Linked DNA regions of Canis lupus familiaris. The protein of the gene in region 2 binds, or shares a complex with, the protein of the main gene of each other region. Links are inferred from orthologs where the notes say so. Each region holds a gene or a part of one and is shown on either strand. Other genes may lie near its edges.

Evidence for each region.
Region 1: the proteins of ZDHHC9 (region 2) and GOLGA7 are in contact, whole or in part, in a cryo-EM structure (PDB 8HF3), measured with the Homo sapiens proteins. The link is inferred for Canis lupus familiaris from reciprocal best matches to the Homo sapiens genes ZDHHC9 and GOLGA7. Residues at the interface, in NP_001008223.1 of Homo sapiens: Phe78, Ala81, Arg85, Ile94, Pro95, Leu98, Asp100, Glu101, Phe104, Ile105, Phe129, Gln130, Ile131, Asn132, Ile146, Pro149, Pro150, Arg182, Tyr183, Leu186, Tyr274, Lys281, Cys284, Glu285, Leu287, Cys288, Gly289, Pro290, Leu291, Pro292; in NP_001002296.1 of Homo sapiens: Lys11, Phe13, Gln15, Tyr18, Ser19, Ser20, Gly21, Thr22, Ala57, Glu58, Leu60, Ser64, Tyr65, Gly68, Cys72, Ala75, Tyr76, Thr77, Phe79, Leu80, Tyr86, Glu87, Leu90, Ile116, Arg118, Gly119, Arg121, Val122.

What each region holds. Positions count from the first base shown.
Region 1 is NC_049237.1:24,832,387-24,837,004, forward strand, and holds the start of GOLGA7 (golgin subfamily A member 7), read right to left. Parts: upstream 2,909-4,618; 5' UTR 2,813-2,908; exon of another isoform or gene 2,676-2,812; intron 2,544-2,675; 5' UTR 2,523-2,543; coding exon 2,412-2,522; intron 1-2,411. UniProt on the Homo sapiens protein: May be involved in protein transport from Golgi to cell surface. The ZDHHC9-GOLGA7 complex is a palmitoyltransferase specific for HRAS and NRAS.
Region 2 is NC_049260.1:101,905,658-101,909,565, reverse strand, and holds part of ZDHHC9 (palmitoyltransferase ZDHHC9), read left to right. Parts: intron 1-1,572; coding exon 1,573-1,689; 3' UTR 1,690-3,908. UniProt on the Homo sapiens protein: Palmitoyltransferase that catalyzes the addition of palmitate onto various protein substrates, such as ADRB2, GSDMD, HRAS, NRAS and CGAS. The ZDHHC9-GOLGA7 complex is a palmitoyltransferase specific for HRAS and NRAS.

The sequences.
Region 1 (4,618 bases), on a different chromosome or scaffold from region 2:
ACAGGCAGAACTTGTCCTCCCTCCCAGATTAAAGGGTACAAATGTAAGTGTATCTAATACTTTAAAGTAATACAAAACATTTGTATATTAGTTTCTTCCTCTATTAAATTACCAAGTGTGATGTTCTCCCCAGAGGAAAATCAGCCCAGTGGCAGAGCAATCAGTACAATTTCTAGGGTAAGTAGTATAGAAACAAAGACAGAAACCTTTTAATTTTCCATCAAACAAAGCAAGGAAAATTTAAACCTGTAATTTAAATTTGATTTCAATACATTAAAAGAAAAATCAAAGCTCTCCCAAGCAGTTTAAAGCATAAACTAGTGTTTTAACCCAAACACTGAAAAAAAAAAAAAAGGAAGAAAAAAAAAAAAAAAAACACCCTCAAAGACACAATTGAATAGCACCAAGTAACACTCCCTATAGTTAGTACTCAGAGTCACATTATAGCCTAGCAGTTCTAGGCTATAATCTGAAGTCAAAGAAGTAAAAGGACTCCAGAATTTAGAAACATCAATTTCCTGTAAGAATCCGTGGAGATTCTCAGAATCCAGACTATAAAGTAAAGGCTCTACCACACATGGAGTAGAAGGCTAATGTCTGGTCCTGCATATCTGCATATATATATTTGGCTCAGTTATGAGTTGGAAGTTTGACTTTAAAACCTTTAAACAAACGAACAAACAAACAATAAATAAAACCTTTAAACAAAGGAATCGGGATCCTGGGTGGTGCAGCGGTTTGGCGCCTGCCTTTGGCCCAGGGAGTGATCTTGGAGACCCGGGATCGAATCCCACATTGGGCTCCCGGTGCATGGAGCCTTCTTCTCCCTCTGCCTATGTCTCTGCCTCTCTCTCTCTCTCTCTCTGTGACTATCATAAAACAAAACAAAACAAAACAAAAAAAACAAACAAAAAAAAAACAAAGGAATCTTATAACATCCAAGTAAGTGTGGTAGAAAGAAGAGTTTACACTCTGATTTGAAAGTACATAAATAGTATAAGTCAGAGTTTCCATAACAGGCTTACAAATAAAACATTTGATCCATTTCATACAAGTCCTAACACGTAAAACATGTTAACTAGGATGTTAAGTTATTTTAAAAATAACGTTCAGTAGCGGTAGACAACAGGCAACTTGCTCAATTTCTATCTCTTGAAACCATGATGGAAATGTCCACCCAGTGTCAAGCTGAGTTAACTCAACATCTAGACGGCAAAGTGCAGCATTTAATACAGCATCTCACAGACAAGCTCATCCACACACCATCCCTGTAAAGCATACCTGATCTTTCATTTGCACTTAAAGAAACATACTTGGGTCACTAACCTGACCACAATTATAAATTAAGTCGAAGGACACTAGGATTGATACACATTGATTTTCCAAACTTGGCATTCAGGTAGAGCAATCTACCTGTTACAAGCTGATTTTAAAGGACTGCTACACATTTCTCTTGTACAGACTCCTCTATACCCACTTATCCCATGACCAGTATTTCTTACTCCCACACCCACAACACACCTAATCACCTCAGTCCCTCACCCTCCCCATCAAGCAGAAAAGAGCAGAAAACCTGCTCCCCTTTAACCAGAAACTGATCTCTAAAAAGAAAACAGAATGCAAGGTAACATGGCTCAAGACCAAAAGCTCTTTCTTTGGGTGGGTGAGCACATTCAGATACAAGAGAAAACAAACTCACACATGCTCACTTCGTTGTATTTTTAAAATAAAATACAAAGAATTTCTCCCCGAGTCTGAAGAAAGAGGAAACACAGCTCCATCTTCCATTTCTAGGTGCAGGGCTGCCTATGGGACCTATATCCTGACGCCAATTCTGATATGCAAGCCAACAAAACACAGGTGGCTCCCGGGGATCATAACCGGGAATTGCAAGTGTCAGGCCTTGTTCTGAGATCCTTCCCTGTCCAGGCCGATCTAATGCTCCACGTTGCTCAGGTTCCCAGCAGGCCTGTCCGTACTGCCTGGTACAGCAATTTAATAAACCCCTTCTGCCGAGCAGGGCGACCAGCACCATGGCCAGGAACCCCAATCACGAGAACGATGATGATTACTCTCCTGGCGAGGTGGGAGGATATAGTTTACAACGTGCTGAGCTAGGTGGCTGGAACCTCAGGAATTAGTTCCTCATCACTGTTGTCAATAACCCGGGGTGGGGGTGGGGGTGGGGCGGGGCGGAGGCGCGGGGGGAAGAAGGCGGCTGGTTGGTTCGGCACCACAGAGTTCTGTAAGGTCACCACACCCGGGGGTCGGTCTTATTCGTCCTCCTCCAAACGCCGCGTCCGGGCCTCGCCTCCCCTCCCCTCGCCGCCAGGCACACCGCGGGCCCGGTGTCTGCCCTGAGGAGGCCCGCCCCCATCGCCCCAGAGCAGGTGCGGGGACAGGGTGCGTACCCGGTTCTCCAGCTCCGCGGGGAACTTGGTCTGGAACTGGCACCGTGTGCCGCTGCTGTAGTCTCGCTGAATGAACACCTTCCCGGACACCGGCGCCTGCTGCGGCCTCATGGCGAGGACAGGACCGGCGCGCTGCGGGTTTGGGGGGACAACAGCCTCGGGTCAGATCCCCGGCCTGGACCCGAGACTCCGGCCCGCCCGCCCCCCAGCCCCTCCCCACGGGCCCAGGTGGCGCGAGGCGTGCCCCGCCCCACTCCCCCTCACCCATACTGGCCCCGCGGGACTTGAGCTATAGCCCGGGGCCAGGCCCCGCACCCCCCGCAGCCCGGTTCGGCCCGGGAAACACGAACCCGCCTCCTCTGCCCTCCAGCTGCAGTCGCACCGCCCACAGCGCCACTTACGTCCTGCCGCAAAAGAGCTTGTTTCCCCGCCCCTCCGCTCAGCCTCTATCGCAAGGAGAGGACTCACTTTCGCCCCGGCCGTAAAGCGACCCTGGTGAGGCTGCGCGCTGCGGTGAGGAGGCGCAGTGGGCGGGGTCCGGGCCGACCCCGCCCCTCGCCCCGCCCCGCCCCGCCCCGCCCGGGGGCGTCAATACGGAAGGAAGAGGCCGGGCCTGGCCGGGCCGGGGCGGGGCGAGGCCCGGGAAGCTACGGCTGCTGCACGCTCCCCTCGTTTGCCCCGGTCCAATACTCGGGATTTCCCTGTTGTGTCATATCCGTGTCGTGTCATTTCCCTAGTGATCGACGTAGTTTTTGACGTCCTGGCTTACCTGTGGGTGCCGCCCGACTCGGGACAAAACGAACTGCTCACACAAAATTGGAAGCAGAAAGCAGACGCCTGGGGATCCTCTTGGCAAGGGGGCGGGAGAAGGAGGGGACGGAGACCCTGCTTGGGCTTTATTACCGAGCATCCGTCCTCAGGTCTCTGCGGGGTCACCGTTCCTCCTCCCGCAGAGATGTCCATCCAGCGCCCAGTCTGTACATCCCTCGGGCGGCTGGGAGGACAGGTTCCCCTCCGTGACCTCTGGGGCTCCACCTGACTCAGCACACACTTTTGCAGAGCAGCCAAAGGAACTCCGCCTTGCCCTCAGCTGCTGGAGCCTGCCTGATACAGCCTGTTGGCACCGATGCCTTACCCTGCCTTTTATATATCTTAAAAATTTTCTCTTACTGTATTTTAAAAAGTTTTATGGAAATATAAACAGCATACAATGAGCGGAGCATACTTGAACTGAACAGTGTAATAAGTTCTGACATACGTGTGCAACCATGAAATCCTCTCAATCAAGACTGTGAACATTGATCATCCTCAGCATGTCCTACAAGCTCCTCTGTAATCCCTCTCTCCTGCCCTTACCCAGCTCCTTTTCTCCAGGCGCTGACCTGCTTTCTGCTATTATATGTTAGTTTGTACTTCTTTGAATGTTATATAAAATGAATCACAGTGTGTACTTCTTGCTTGTTTGTTTGGCTTCTTTCACATAGGCATCATTTGAGATTCATCTGTTGTTGTTTTATCAAGAATTCATTCATTTTTGTTGCTGGGTAGTATTCCATTGAATTGAGTATCCTGTCATTCGTTTATTCTGTGGACAGATTTAGGACTGCTTTCCAGTTTGGGGCTATTACAGATTAAACTGCTATCGGACATTCATCTACAAGTCTTTGTATGGACATATGATTTCATTTCTCTCGGGTAAATATCTAGTGTTTAACTTTTTAGGAAACTGCCAAACTGTTTCCCAAAGTGGTTGTACCATTTTACGTTCCCACCAGTAGCATATGAGGGATGCTCCACATCTTTGCCAACACTTGTATAGAGGTATCTTATTTGTGGTTATAAATTTTATTTTTCTATGACTAGAAAATTAGAACATCTTTTCATATACTTATTTGCCATTCCTATATCTTCTTGAAGTATCTGTTCAAGTCTTTTGCAATGTATTTGTGTTTGTTTTCCTATCATTGAGTTTTAAGAGTTTTTTTTAATGTATTCTAGGGAAAAGTCCTATGTCATATATACGATTTACACTCTTTTTTTCCCCCATATTCTGTGGCTTGCCTTTTCACTCTCTTAACATATCCTTGGGTTTGGGGGCATTAGGTAAGGACATCTTGGGAAGAGCATTATTCTGCCTACCACACGTATGGATTTAAGTTCGTTTTTTCTCTTCATATGATTATCCAGTTATTCCAGCACAATTTGTT
Region 2 (3,908 bases):
AAGAAGCCAGCTGGAATTTTGATGAGGATTGCATTGAAGCTATAGATCAATTTTTGGAGTATTATCTTCCTAACAAGATTAAATCTTATGAATAATTAACATGGCTGTCTTCATTTGTTTAGGTCTTCTTTAATTTCTTTCAACATTTTGGGGATGCCTGGGTGGCTTAGTGGTTGAGCATCTACCTTCGGCTCAGTGCGTGATCCCAGGGTCCCAGGATCGAGTCCCACATTGGACTCCTTACATGGAGCCTGCTTCTCCCTCTGCCTCTCTCTCTGTCTCTCTCTGTGTCTCTCATGAATAAATAAACAAAAATCTTTAAAAAATTCTTCTTTCAACATTTTGTATTTTCCAGAGTACATTTTTTAAAAATTTTATTTATTTATTTAGAGAGAGCATACACATGCAAGTGGGGGGAAGGGCAAAGGAAGAGGGAGAGAGAATCTCAAGCGACTTTGTGCTAAGCATAGAGCCAGATGCAGGGCTTAATCTCATGACCCCGAGATCATGACCTGAGCTGAAATCAAGAGTCAGACGCTTAACCAACTGAACCACCCAGGTACCGCTAGTATAAGGTGTTTTTTAAAGTTTTATTTATTTAAGTAATCTCTACCCTCATCGTGGGGCTCAAACTCATGACCCTGAGATCAAGAGTCACATGCTTCTCCAGCTGAGCCAACCAGGTGCCCTCAGAGTATAAGTTTAATGCTTCTTTTGTTACATTTATTCATAAGTATTTTATTCTTTTTGATGTTACTGAAAATGAAATAATTTTCCTAATACATTTTTGGATTGTACATTGGAAGTATATAGAAATTCAATTAATTTTTTTATATTGATCTTGTATCTTGAAACCTTGCTAGACTAGTTTATTCTAATAGATTTTTAGTAGATTTGAGCTTTCTTTTCAAATAGAATCCTACTTTTAAGTGGATGATTTTTGTAAAGTAGATAATTGTTCTCTACCCTTCCTAAATTTTGAATTCTTTTTTGAAGTACAGCAAACTCTGGTTTATATATTATTATCATTTTGAATTTCATTTTCCTGATGAATCTGATCTTATATCATAACAATCTAGGTTAGTGATGCTAAGTTGAAGGTAGGGAAGGATAGTATTTTAGAATCACTAAGGGGGCATTTTCAAACCACATATCCCATCTGAAGATTTTGCCACCCTACCCTATTTGATTTAGGATCAGTGTTCCGGTGAGCTGTGTGTTAGGGAATAAAAAAGACTGAGAACCACTCAGGCCTTCTTAGACAAGTATGTTATAGCATTCTGTTGTGAAGGGAAGGGGTCTGTGTAATTATTTGTGGTCCCTTTTATTAATATCACAAATAATGATGAAAACATCTATCCACAACAGTGAAGAATAGAATTCAAACTTCAGTCGCATTCTGTTGAGAAGACTAGAGTTCGGTCTTGGTTCTGAGTTTGGTGTTGGTGGATGTATATTTGTAGCATCAGTGTGGTTGATGGATTCAGAGGAAGAGTTAGGTGTCTATGTATTATCTCCATTTAGATCTTAAGGGAGAGTTTTGTATTGAATTTGATACGTTTTCCTTCTCAGGCCCCAACAGAACATCTGAGCCCAAGTGAGATGCCGGAGGATACCAGCACTCCTGAAGAGATGCCACCCCCAGAGCCCCCAGAGCCACCACAGGAGGTGACTGCAGCTGAGAAGTAGCCTATCTATGGAAGAGACTTTTGTTCGTGTTTAATTAGGGCTGAGAGAGATTTAAGGGGAGAAGATAAACCTGAGACAGAGAGCAACCGAGCTGTCCCTTTTATTGTTTTCCTTTGGTCTTATTCACCCAATTGCACACTGGCATTTTCTTGCTGCAAGCTTTTTTTAATTTCTGGACTTGAGGCAGTCACGGAAGATGTCAGTCACCTCTGGTAACTGGACAAATGGGTCCCTTGGGCCCCGACACTGGCTTTCAATGGCCTTAGCCATGGAGTCTCCTTGGACTCCCCTCTCTTTCCTCCAGATGCCAGCTCTCCTGCTTGGGGTCATTGACCCAATTCTGGGGTTAAAGTTTCTTGAGACTGGCTCAAATCCTCCCAAGCTGCTGCATGTCATGAGTCCAGAGGCCGTCACAGAAAACTCTGGCCAGGGAATCCTAACTGGATTCCCAGGGCCTTCAGAACTGAAGAGGGTGAAGAGTGGGCTTGGAGGATTCTCCTGGCTACAAAGTGCCAACATTGCCGGCAAATCCTTTCAGGAATGGGGCAGATAACTTCCACTTGTATTTATTCATGTAGCTTCTCCTCTGTCCCCTGCCCACTCTCTAACACCCAAGCCCCACTCTTTTTCAACTAGAAATATGTAAGTAGTTACTGTAGAGAAAACAACCACATTTCTTGTAGACTACCTGGAAACTTTTTAATACCTGTGCCATTCTTAGTAAGAATTTATGAGATGCCAATGACATGGCCCCTTGCACTCTTTGTCTCATCTCTCCTCCTTTCTCGTTAGCCCCTTTTGTTTTCCTTTTGACTCTTGCTCCTGCTAGGAGCAGGAACAGCAGTAATAAAAGTCTGCACTTTGGTGATTCCTTTTCCTCAGAGGAAGCCTGAGTGCTCACTTAAACACTACCCCCTCAGACTCCCTGTGTGAGGCCTGTAGAGGCCCTGAATGCACAAATGGGGAAACCAAGGCACAGAGAGGCTCTCCTCTCCTCTCCTCTCCCCCTATGTCCCCTCAAAAAAGAAAAAAAAAGAAAAAAAAGAATAACCAGTACTTCCATTAGGCCTCGGCTGAGTGAGGAGGGAAAGCCCAGCACTGCTGCCCTCCCGGGTAAACCCACTCCAAGGCCTTGGCCCACCTCGGGCTTGGTAACCACACGGGGGCTTCCTCCAAGCCCCACTCTTCCAGCACTTCCACCGGCAGAGTCCCAGAGCTGCTTCACCCTGGGGGTGTGCTTTGACCCCCAGTCAGCTCTGCTCAGGACCTGCTCTATTTCAGGGAAGAAGATTTATGTATTATATGTGGCTATATTTCCTAAAGCACCTGTGTTTTTCTCTTTCTAAGCCAGGGTCCTGTCTGGATGACTTACGGGGAGGGGGGGGAGTGTAAACCAGAACTTTTAATCTATTTGAAGGTGATTAAACTGTGTCTAATGCAAACTGCCTGCCTCCTCCTTCCCCCCTTCCATTTCAAAAACCACCATGAGGTTGTGAATGTCTTTGTGTGGGGGGTAGGGGTGGGGGTTGAAGGGGTTGCTTGTTATTACATACTTCCATTTTCTAGGGGACCCTTGAGTTGGAGAAATAGCTCCCAAACTCTCCACTGATCTAGACCACATTTTGAGCTAAAGTTTACCTTATTCTGGACTATGAAGTAAAGGGCTTTCAAAGCAATATACAGTTTAGCACGATTGGGAGGGTTGGAGGGGGTATATTTACTTAAGAGAACATGTTCTTTATTAGGATATTGTTTTTATGCAGAGGGATGCTGTTAATTGCAAATGAGTCTTGATTATTAAAGCAGGCTCCTTGGAGCCTCCTCTTGGAAATATTTTGTTAGTGATCTTTTACAAGCAATGGCATATATTTCTTTTTTAAATGGTCTAAAATCAAGACTCCTTACCAATGCCTATCTCACCCTTCCCAGTTAATCAAAATTCATGAAATTTGGCTGCTTCCAGATTTTTCTGTATGTCTTCTTATTTTCTTCGTATTAGAGTTTGAGTGTAGCAATCAGGAGAAGCAGAGAGATGGGTTCTGAGTGACTCAGATTCCTCTCCTATCTGCCTCTATTTTTCCATTCTTTTTCTGGATCTCTCACTTTTATCTTTGTAGCTAGATTTCATTAGTTCAACATAAGGCCAAGCCTGAAGAATTTGGAAGTTACTAGATTTTTCCAGTTAACCTGACACTCAGATGAACTCCTTTAGCCCACTC